2 linked regions of the Danio rerio genome follow. The protein of the gene in region 2 interacts with the protein of the main gene of each other region in a pairwise test. Links are inferred from orthologs where the notes say so. Each region holds a gene or a part of one and is shown on either strand. Other genes may lie near its edges.

Region 1 (5,886 bases), on a different chromosome or scaffold from region 2:
TACCACAACAGTTTAAAGACACAAAATCATATAATGTCGTCTGAACGCCACAGTGATATTTAAACTAGGCTTGATGTGTAAACTAGGTTTTCAGAGTCCATACATTACATGCTTCAAATCAACCCAGTTGATTATTTTAGTAATATGGCTTTTAACAATTTTACAATAAGAAAGATGTTGGTTCAAGACCATAAGATTCCACTATACTATGCCTCAACTTTTCGCCAACTGTGTAAATCTTTAGAATTAATCTCTTCTTAACTAAAACAATTATTTTGTCACCCGAAAATTAGTTTGGAGACTAAACAAATTATCTGAAAACAGTTTTCAGATTGAAAGCATGTAAGATCAAATCCCAAAATAGTATACCTTGTGCAACTTCATCCATATCCCATGTTTACGAATTGCTTAACAGCAATCCAACATAGTCCTTCTCTGGCTAAGTTTCTTGTATATCATAGATAGGCAACCTTTCTTGGTGGGCACTGTTCTGAAGAGTTCAGAACTATTCAGACGCAACTGCTTGCAATTTTTAAGTCTAACCTAAAGACACAGACAGGGCCTTTATTACTGGTTTACAATGCAAGTCCAATTAGAACCACTTATTTGATAAACAAAACTACAGCAGCTGTACTTCCACTAAAAGGCTTAAAATATTACTTTAAAAATTGTATTGTACATACATTGTTTAAACATCTGAATAATATTCAATAAGACAACTGACCTTAATATAAAAAACTGAAAAATATATACATTTACACACATTTACATATGCAAATAAAAATAATGTTTCATCCAAGTTACTGAAGTACCTAACCCAACAGCCCCAAGAGCCTTGTTTTTACACTGTTTTACCACAATTTTGCTACATGAAGAACAAGCTACCCTCAAAGACAGAGCTGCAAGACCCATTGGGATTAGACTTATTCACTTGGGTCTCTGTTTCCCAGTTTAGAGAAGGTCAAGGAGACAGAAGTGCAGGGCCCGACTAATGGTTCAGTCTATTCTAGAAATCCATTTATCTTTCCTTTCATCTCCAATATGGCATCTTCCTAAGAGTAAATGTCTCAATGTAATTACTCTCCAGTTCATGAGCGGAGATGAAGGTGTAGTGTGGTGCGCAATGAGACTTACACAAATATGCCACACTGTAAGTGGGTTGAAATTACCCATACTTTAATAGAGACCACGATTCTCAGAACGCATTAAGAAAATTTACAATACCAATGATGAGGTCACTCGAATTCAAAATGGAAGATGCAAGTGAACTCATAGAAACTCAGCCAAAAATCATATTTACCTACCTCAGCTGCCTCTTTCTCAAACTTCTCAATGGTTCTTTTATCAATTCCTCCACATTTGTAGATGAGATGCCCAGTGGTGGTTGATTTCCCAGAATCAACATGGCCGATCACCACAATGTTGATGTGGATCTTCTCTTTCCCCATGTTGACTCGGGGCGGCAAGAGAGAACAGTAAGAGGTGCTTTCTTCTGTCTGCAAAAAAAAGGCAAAAGTAAGGCAAATAACATTAGTACATATAGAGGCTGTTTACACCTGGTCACTTCATAATTTTATATAGCTATCTGATTATGAAATGGGCATGCCCGCAGAAAGTCATTTAAGAAGTATTTTAATCTAAACGCTAAAACCACTTCAGGAGGTGGTCTGGGACTGCTTCCAGATGAAACTGTGGAGGTCTAAATGCATCTGGTTGTTGAAATCACATGTAGTGGTAGTGGCTTCATTTCATTTCATTTTCTTGTCGACTTGGTCTCTTTATTAATCCGGGGTCGCCACAGCGGAATAAACCGCCAACTTATCAAGCAAGTTTTTACGCAGCAGATGCCCTTCCAGCCGCAACCCATCTCTGGCAATGTAGTGGTATCTTCCTTCTTCCAAAATGTAAAAAAATACATGAATAAACATGTGAGAGCATAAACACACGTACAAATAGCCTACATACATTACGAAATCATTCGTATGCCAAATAAGACATATACAGGGTATTTTAGATATCAAATTCCCACATTTTTCCCTGACTAAAAAGCTTAATTTCCATGATTTATAATGAAGGAAAAATCAGAATGCTGTTGTGCTTTGCATAAGTTTAAAAATGTTTAGCTTGAAAATCCTTTTGAAGGAGTTTAATAGCCACTATGAGAACAACAATAAATAATTTACTTCTGTTTTTAAGAAAATAAATAAAATAGCTTCGAACTGCTCCCTCTCCCATATTTGATGGCTTAATAATAGTTTTACGAACTCTACATTTAGTTTGTATTTCATCTACTTTTTAAAACCCAGTCTCTGATGTGGTAATTTTAAAGCCAAAACTCAAAAATATATATTATCCTGACATGTTTGCCTTACTTAACAGGTACGATCCGGTGATTGCGGTTGACGGAACTGACTGCCAGTTAGAATGAATTAGAATAAGAATGAAAAAAAAAACAAATAAAATGGAGTTTAAAAGTATCATGATCGTAAACATTTTGTTTTTAAAAATATATACTCAAAACTTTGTTCAAACTACTTATTTAAAATACCTTGAAACAACAATTTCTTTAAATTTTACTGGGACAACCTAAGTGTATTATGTTAAATCCACTTAAATTAGTAAAAACTAATTTTCTTAAAGGAATTAAGTTAACTTAATTCCTTCATATTGTCGCAACACAAATCAATTGTGAAACCCAGCAGTTTTTACTGTGTGCTATAGACAAAATTCCATGCACTGCTGGAGCTCTGTATTTAGCTTTTCTGTAACAAATAATGATAAATAAATTAAATGTGGTGTATCTGATGCTTTAGTTTAAGTAACTTGCCTAGTTAAGTTTGCATAGTGCAGGATTTGAAATTCTGATTTACAGTTAGTCAGAATTATTAGCCCCCCTTTGAATTTTTCTTTCTTTTTTAAATATTTCCCAAATTATGTTTAACAGAGCAAGGAAATTTTCACTGTATGTTTGATCTTGTTTTTACTTATGGAGTAAGTCTTATTTTTTTGCTTTAATTGGGCTAGAATAAAAGTACTGTTTAATTTTTTAAAAGCCATTTTAAGGTCAAAAATGTTAACCCGTTTACGCTATTTTTTTCTTTGACAGTGAACAGAACAAACCATCGTTATACAATAATTTGCCTAATTACTCTAACCTGCCTAGTTAACCTAATTAACCTAGTTAAGCCTTTAAATTGCCCTTTAGGCTGTATAGAAGTGTTTTGAAAAATATCTAGCAAAATATTGTTTACTGTCATCATGGCAAAAGCGCCTTTCACACAGTGATACTGGTAAATATCTGGATAATTTTCGGAACAACTTTACCGGTAAATTCCAAAAAAGCGCTGTTCACACAGGCGAGGCGTTACGGAATTTTTCCAGAAAACACCGTTCACACATCCATTCCAAAATACCGGTAAATTCTGACATCATTCCCCACAAATGAGCTTTAAACGCCTGCGCTTGTATTTGTAAACATTTGACTACATTACAAACTCTGTGGATGATCAGTATTGTGAACAACTTTGATGAAGACATATGGAGGATCACTTTCGCATGTCGAGATGTTCATAATATGTGTGTGCTGGCGTTCACGGCTGTTTCACGAGCACACGCTAAGCTTGAAGGTAAACAAACAATGGTTTATCATAAGCATCTTATCGATGATTATTTACACAGTTGGCATTAAGAAGAACATATAAACGTTATCTAACTAACTTATAGCAGCTAAATGCGTCGTGGAAAATATTCAAAGGCTTTTATTCTCATAAACCGCGCAAACATGAATGCGTCTCACTGTTCGGATTGGTTAAAGCAGACGTCTCACGTCAGCACGTTCTAGATGTGCACATGCTCTTTCCGGCAATCTTCCTTCTGCAATTACACAGCGCTGCATTCCGGCAAATTACAACTTCTCTTTCCGGAAAATAGTCAGAACGAATTTACCGGTATTTTCAAAAAGGACCTGTTCACACATACAACCTTTCCGGAAAATTGTCGGTAATTTTACGGAAAGGTCTGTATGTGTAAAAGGGGCTAAAGATAAATATTAATCAGTTATTACAGATGAGTTATTAAAACTATTGTGTTTAGAAATGTACTCAAAAAAATCTTCTCTCCATTAAACAGAAATTGGGGAAAAAATAAACAGGGGCTAATAAATCAGGGGGGGCTACTAATTCTGATTTCAACTGCATATTTAATCAGCAGAGACACATTTATGTGGCCAAACGTAAATGAAACCATTTTCACAAAAAAAGATACTGTCCAATCAGAGAAAATGTAATACATAACCAGGTGTAAACAGGCCCACAAACATAAACTTAAACATTCAGTATTAGGGTATGTTCACTTGTAGTATTGTATTCTTGGTTTGGACTAAGAAAATTGGGGAAGAAAATCATGATACATTTAATCCTTGTTCGGTTACCATTCACACTATCATTTGTAAAAATGAAATTAAACATAACAAAAAGAATATACTTTTAAGGCATTGAGAACTTGAGAAAACTGTCGTAAAGGAGTCAAAAGCTCACCAGGGGTCTGTTCTTCGTAGCCCGCTTAAATGATCTAAGATGATTTTTACTGATCATGGATCTGTTCATCTTGATAACTGATTTCTGGCTAATTTGGTTCTTCAAACAAGTTTGTGAATCAGATTAGAATGTCAGGTTGGACTGATCTGAGATCGCTGTGTGTGTTGTTAAGGACTGATCTATCGATCCTCGAAATCATGATCAGCTATGCAACGATTGGCTGATGGCACAGAGGCAAAATGACATCATCTGATTAATATCCAATTATCCATGTGAGCTAAATTACATAAAATTCGGTTTGTTAAATATGATATGCAATAACTTTACACCTTGTTGTGGGCTGCATGCTTGGCCCTTTCATGCATCAAGAGCAGTTTATTTAGTTTTACAGTTAGAGCGGATTTTCCTTATCATAGTAGTATTACAGTAGCCAGTTTTTTAATTGGTGTAAAGAATACCTGGATGTTTACAAAAACATTTTGGTATTGGTAAAGGCGTCAGCAACTTTTATGAAGCATCAAATCACTGTCATATTAGCTGTCAAAACATGTTTATGACTGCATAAATGTATTATTGCTTTTAAAAAAAGTCACATACTGTGCATTTCTATTATCATACACAGATTGTACTAAAGCGATGTAAAAAGTTCATATCAATCGGTTTTGTCTTTGCAGTCTTTGTACTTTCATTTCGTTGGTGCAGATTGCATTTTATATATATATATATATATATATATATATATATATATATATATATATATATATATATATATATATATATATATATAAATATCAGATATCGGTACTTTCTGTATTATCTTTGCTTGAACTGAGCTGATCTAATTCTGTTTATATGGATTGAACCTGCTTCCGACCAAGTTTAAGCTACCAGAACTGTTATGACAACAACTCTCGGATCAGTTTGTAATACATAACCAATCCTGGATCATGTCAAATTGTCAATAACCAAATCCAGCTAACAGAGTAAATCACGAACGAAGAACAGACCCCAGGAATTCCTCTGTCTCGCAAAACAAAGAAATAGCAACATCTTTTACATTTTTTTAGAATTTGTTTTAATTTGTTTAGATTTAACTTCTACTTTATATTGATTTTATATTGCAGTCCAATCACAACCGGGTTTATTTCAAAATAAACAGAGACCAATCTTTTTTACTGGTCCTAGTCCACTTGTTTGGTGACTACAAGAATTATGAATGGCATCGCTTTGACTTGATCATACTAACCGGACTAACAGAATTATCACAACAACTTAACTTTATTAAACCAAACCTGTGAATGCACCCAGATATGGCAGGAATAGGCTGGAAGACTGTTGGAGTTCAAGGCTG
Region 2 (5,886 bases):
CAGGGCGCTCAGTTTCTGGTTGGCCTCCTCAATGGCGCTGTACGTCTGAACATTACTGGCGATGTGGAAGCGGATCTCGTCCACCAGAGGAATGGAGTCCGTCTCCTGTCTGGCGGCCACATTCCCAGCATCCTCTCTGATCATGTCGGCAAACTCCGGCCTTTCAACGAGCTGAAACAAACAGGACTTTTATTTCTGAGCTCAATCACACTAAAAATACAAATTATAATATGACTGCTGCAATATTTAAATGGTTAGTTCACCTATATATATATATATATATACATGCATATAATGATAGTGATGTGCATTGTGTGTGCAGTACCCTCTCGATGATCTTGGCCATGTGTTCAGTGCACTGGTCCTCCAGACGGGACAGTCGGAAGAGTTTGGCTGTTCTCCACATGTGCAGCACGTTCTCCTCATTGAGCAGCGCCGCCAGAGTTCGGCCACACAGACGCTTCAAACCCGGCAGCAGGTACATGTCGGCCACACACAACACCTCATACACATTCTCATGAGACAGCTGAAAAACACAAATACACAGGTTCCCACGCTTTCATGAACAGCAGATTCACACACTTTTAAAGCACCATTCATTTTAAATCAACCACTTCTATAATTCATACCCCAGCATGCAGCTGATGTTAGAATGATTAGCCCTCCTTAGTTATTTGCCCCCTGTATATATTTTTCCCCAATTTCTGTTTAACGGTGAGATTTTGTTAAAAATAAAAACATTATAGTTTAATAACTCATCCCTAATAACTGATTTATTTTATCTTTGCAATGATGCCAGTACATAATATTTCACTAGATAGATTGATATTTAAAGGCTTAACTAAGTGACGTCATTGTATAATGATGGTTTGTTCTGTAGACAGTCGAAAAAAATTTATATTGCTTAAGGGGCTAATTATATCAACCTTAAAGTGGTCTTTAAAATGAACAACTGCTTTCATTCTAGCCGAAAAAAAAGAAAAAAGAAAAAAAAAGAAAAACTGCTTTCATTCTAGCCGAAATAAAACAAACAAGACTTTCTCCAGAAGAAAAAAATATTATAGGGAATACTGTGAAAAATTTCTTTGCTATGTTAAACACCATTTGGAAAATATTTGAAGTTTAAAAATCTAAATATATCCTAACTGACAAAAGTATGGATAGAAATTTATCAATGTAAATTATCATATGCTTGTTTGTTTTAGCTAATGTAATGTATATTTTAGTATCATAAATATAATAACAATAATATAATAATATATTTATTTTATTAAAATATGATACAGTACTGCTATTAAAATGAAGTATTAATATTTTAAATCAAGCAATGTATTTTATTGAACACATTTCACTTCACTTTTATCTCAACATTCATAAAAAATATATATATTTTAATGCTGGAGAGTTATTTACTTTCCCACATTTCTGCTAATTTCTGCTAATAGTTCATTTATGTCCTTCTGATAACAACACTGAGAAATATAGTGTTTATCATAGGGCCCTTTCAGACACCCGGCGCAATAAGGCGTGATTTGTTGCTATTTTCAGACCAGCGCAACTGTCAATTTTTGCACCACGTTGTTTAAATAGCAAATCCATTTGTGCCACTTTTGGACTTGTGTGTGCTGGTCTAGAAAGATAGTGTGTTAAGGCACATTGCTGGCGTGTTGCCATTTTCAAGAACTGAAATAGACTGCGCCATTGACCAAGCAAAACCTGGGGTCTGTTCTTCGTACCTGTTCATCTTGATAACTGATCTCTGGCTAACTTGGTTCTTCAAACAAGATCGCCAATCAGATTAAAATGTCTGGATGAACTGATCTAAGATCGCTGCGTGTGTTGAAGGACAGATCCATCGGCACATCAGCGTAATGACATCATCTGATTCATATTTAATTATACATGTGAGCAAAATTACATAAAATTAGCAGTAAGCAATTTGTTAAATATGACACGCAATAACTCTCCACATTTGTTCTGAGCTGCAGGCTTTACACTTTCATGTGTCAAGAAGAGTATTCATCATGTATTTCAATGCAAATCAATCTATTTAGTCCTACATTTAGAGAAGATTTTCTTTATTATAGTAGCCTAGGCCTACTCAATTTTTTTAATAGGTGACAGGAATAACTATATTATTATTTTTGCATCAAAAAAGCATTTTGATATCAGTAAAGGTGCCTGCAACTTTTGCAAAGCATCAAATCACCTGCATATTAGCGGTCAAAACTCATGCATGACTGCATACATTTTTTAAATAAGTCAAATATTGTAAAGCATGTAGACATTTGTATCTAAAAAGTACATTTTAATACATTTTCTCTTTGAACCACTAGGTGGCAATGTTTTACTTTTATTTCAGAGTGCAGATTGCATACGTTTTATTCATATATATATATATATATATATATATATATATATATATATATATATATATATATATATATATATATATATATAGTTAAAAATATATATTTACTTTTTTCCTAAGTGAATATAACTATGTCGAAGCAGTGGCGCAGTAGGTAGTGCTGTCGCCTCACAGCAAGAAGGCCGCTGGGTCGCTGGTTCGATCCTCGGCTCAGTTGACATTTCTGTGTGGAGTTTGCATGTTCTCCCAGTGTTCGCGTGGGTTTCCTCCGGGTGCTCCGGTTTCCCCCACAGTCCAAAGACATGCGGTATAGGTAAATTGGGTGGGCTAAATTGTCCATAGTGTATGAGTGTGTGGGTGAATGAGTGTTTATGAATGTTTCCCAGAGATGGGATGCGGCTGGAAAGGCATCCGCTGCATAAAAACGTGCTGGATAAGTTGGCGGTTCATTCTGCTGTGGCGACCCCGGATTAATAAAGGGACTAAGCCGATAAGAAAATGAATGAATGAATGAATGAATGAATATAACTACTGTAAGAAAATATCAGCATTTAGTACTTTCAGTATTTTCTTTACTTGAACTGACCCAAACTATTCCTGTTTATATGAAATGAACCCGCTCCCAAGTAGGTTTAAGCTACCAGATCTGTTGCTATGACAACAAGTCTCAGATGAGTTTTGAAGAACGAAACGATACTGGATCGGGTCAAATCGTCAATATCAAAATCCAGCTAACTGAGTAATCCACGTACGAAAAACGGACCCCAGGTCTAAAGTCCAGTGCAGAGTCTATGCAGGTCCAAACACTTACACATTGCTTAATACACACAGGATGTACAGCAATACACAAATATCTTTACAAATAAAAAAAATAATTAAAGGATTAAAATGTTACAAAAACGATTATTTTCTAAAAATATACATATATATATATTCTTATTTATAAATATAAATATAAATAAATAAAAATATAAATAAATAAAATATAAAAGCAACTGCCTCCATGCCTTCTTCACCTTGGGGGGTGAACTTTTTTTAGTTTATTCACGACAATCTGCATTTGTATAATGTTATTATTATTATTAGTAGTATTACTTATTATATGCCGATTTATATTTGTTTGAATAAAAAACAAGCTTAGATTTGTCCTCCTATCAGGTTTTGGAGACATATTGTCATGATTACCAGCGATCTAACCACCAGAGATGGCTGGCAAACATTCATTCTCACATGAACTACAAATCTGCCATGTTATGGACTACAACACCCAGTCATGCCACTCGCACACACAACCGGTTCCAGATCCAGACTGATTACACAGCAAACAGGAAACAAAGAAAAACACGTACATACAGACAGCAACAGCTAAAAAATACTCAGCACATGTGTGTGGAACAGATGGGTTTAAATAGTCCAAATAATCAGTGTGAGCAGCTTCAGCTGTGAGTATGTAATCAGTCTGGAACCGGTTGTGTGTGTATGGCATGACTGGGTGTTGTAGTCCATAACATGGCAGATTTGTAGTTTATGTGAGAATGAATGTTTACCAGCGATCTCTGGTGGTTAGATTGCTGGTAATCATGACACATATGATCACCATATAATAACAAGACGTGTGTTTGGGTATAACTCAGTTGTTTGACCTCACTTCGTTATTATTGCTCATTTATTTGTTTGCTGTAAATTAGAACTGACTTTAGAAATAGTTTTGAAACAAACCTTTGAATTTAACAAGCTAAATTAAATAGGTAGGCTAATGGATGTCTTCAGTGGAGTGCGTACAACACCATTTCCTTACTCCATGAAAGTAAAGGAGTAAAGAGATAGTAAGAGGCTAAATGGAGGAGGCTCGTTCTTTATCCTCATGCTGCAGATGCACTGTTTAACTGTTTTCTCGCTAGTAAAGCTTGTTACGCTCAAAACACACCAATAACTGATTAAGAGAATAAGCACAGCCCTGTTAGACCATGCGCTGGGGTGCAAACTGTATTTTTCCACCCTTAAAATAGCAAAAGTACATTTATACATCCACTAATGCTTTTACACCATGCGCTTTAGACTTTGCGCCTAGATCATTAAAATAGAGCCCAGTGTCTGTAACTGTAAGTGTGTGTGTGTTTGTGTACCTGAGTGTTGTCACTATAAATGTAATAAAGGATTCTTGTAAACAAATCATGGGACACATCATGAAGCGTGATGACAGGAATACTGGGATGAGTCTGTAGAGTTTCTCCCTCGCTGAAATGATCCTCCAACAGAGCCTTAAAATAATCACTGCGGCCACAGAAAAACGCCTGCAACACACACACATACACAATCAATTTTAATCAAAACCACTAATACAATATTAAAGCAGCATCATTCTCATAACTAATTCTGAGTAATAGATGGATATTAGAACATTGTTTTAGAGAGCCATAATGCTGTTCAAGCATACACAGGCAGGGATTATGATTATAAGTATTAATAAATAGTGACCTTATGACATAGGAAGTCATAACCCTCCACCCGGAAGCAGATGTCAGGATAACTCGGGAAGCTGTCAGTAAGATCGAATGGAAGCTGACCGTATCCGACCTGAAAATCAGACAGCAGTAGTTTCAATTAGTCACAATATAAAACACATGTTCAGTGAAGGAAACAAAAACATATGTAGTATAAGAGTTAAGAGATGAACAAATTTTATTATTAACCATTATAATGCAATGAAATCCATTCTGACCTGTAAGGGATGCATAAAAATTGTCTAAAATCTGCATAGTTTTAGCAAATAAACTACTAGTTATTTACAATTTTTCAAGTTTTTTTTTTAAAGATTTTGAGTTATTTTGTACATGTGTATGGAGTGGCGGTTAATAATGTTTGCTAAATTATCTATGAAGTTATGTTAGCTTCAAGCAACTGTGGTCAATTAAATTTAGCATTTTCCCCACATCTCACACACTTTTGGAACTGATTAAATTTTCATTTGAATTATTTTACAAATATTTCCCTGCTGAGATGTTTTAAAAACATTTTAATAAACAACTTCTAGCAACTCATATCTTTTGTCTTTGCCATGATGACAATACATAATATTTAAAGAGCAATTTAAAGCCTTAACTAGGTTAATTTTGTAAGTCATTGGATAACAGGGGTTTTTGTAGTTAAAAAGAAAATTCTTAAGAGGGCTAATCATTTTGACCTAAGCTGTTTTTTTATAAACATCACTGCTGAGATATTTGGAAAAGAATAAAAATTTCAAATGATTACTTATAATTTTGCTTTCAACAGTTTATCACATTTTGACAAAACATTAAAGCATTAAACTTTTTTCTTAAAATGAAAGTGAATATTTTTGCAATCAAATTAAATTTCGAAACTGTTTAAAGGTTTTAGGTTATTTCAATTTCAACCAATTTCTCTTCTGTTTTTAATTTTTAAGATCAATAATTTATTCAAATTATGAAACATAATAAACATGAAACATATTAAAAATATATACATAATACATATACATACAAATATATATCAAA

Evidence for each region.
Region 1: the proteins of abtb1 (region 2) and eef1a2 interact in binary tests that used the Homo sapiens proteins (3 or more experiments, as listed by UniProt). The two-hybrid records come from large-scale screens. The link is inferred for Danio rerio from reciprocal best matches to the Homo sapiens genes ABTB1 and EEF1A2.

Annotation. Positions count from the first base shown.
Region 1 is NC_133198.1:17,397,688-17,403,573, forward strand, and holds part of eef1a2 (elongation factor 1-alpha 2), read right to left. Parts: intron 1,497-5,886; 5' UTR 1,449-1,496; coding exon 1,305-1,448; exon of another isoform or gene 1,301-1,304; intron 1-1,300. UniProt on the Homo sapiens protein: Translation elongation factor that catalyzes the GTP-dependent binding of aminoacyl-tRNA (aa-tRNA) to the A-site of ribosomes during the elongation phase of protein synthesis.
Region 2 is NC_133183.1:8,648,896-8,654,781, reverse strand, and holds part of abtb1 (ankyrin repeat and BTB/POZ domain-containing protein 1), read right to left. Parts: intron 4,949-5,886; coding exon 4,850-4,948; intron 4,666-4,849; coding exon 4,498-4,665; intron 527-4,497; coding exon 326-526; intron 172-325; coding exon 1-171. UniProt on the Homo sapiens protein: May act as a mediator of the PTEN growth-suppressive signaling pathway. May play a role in developmental processes.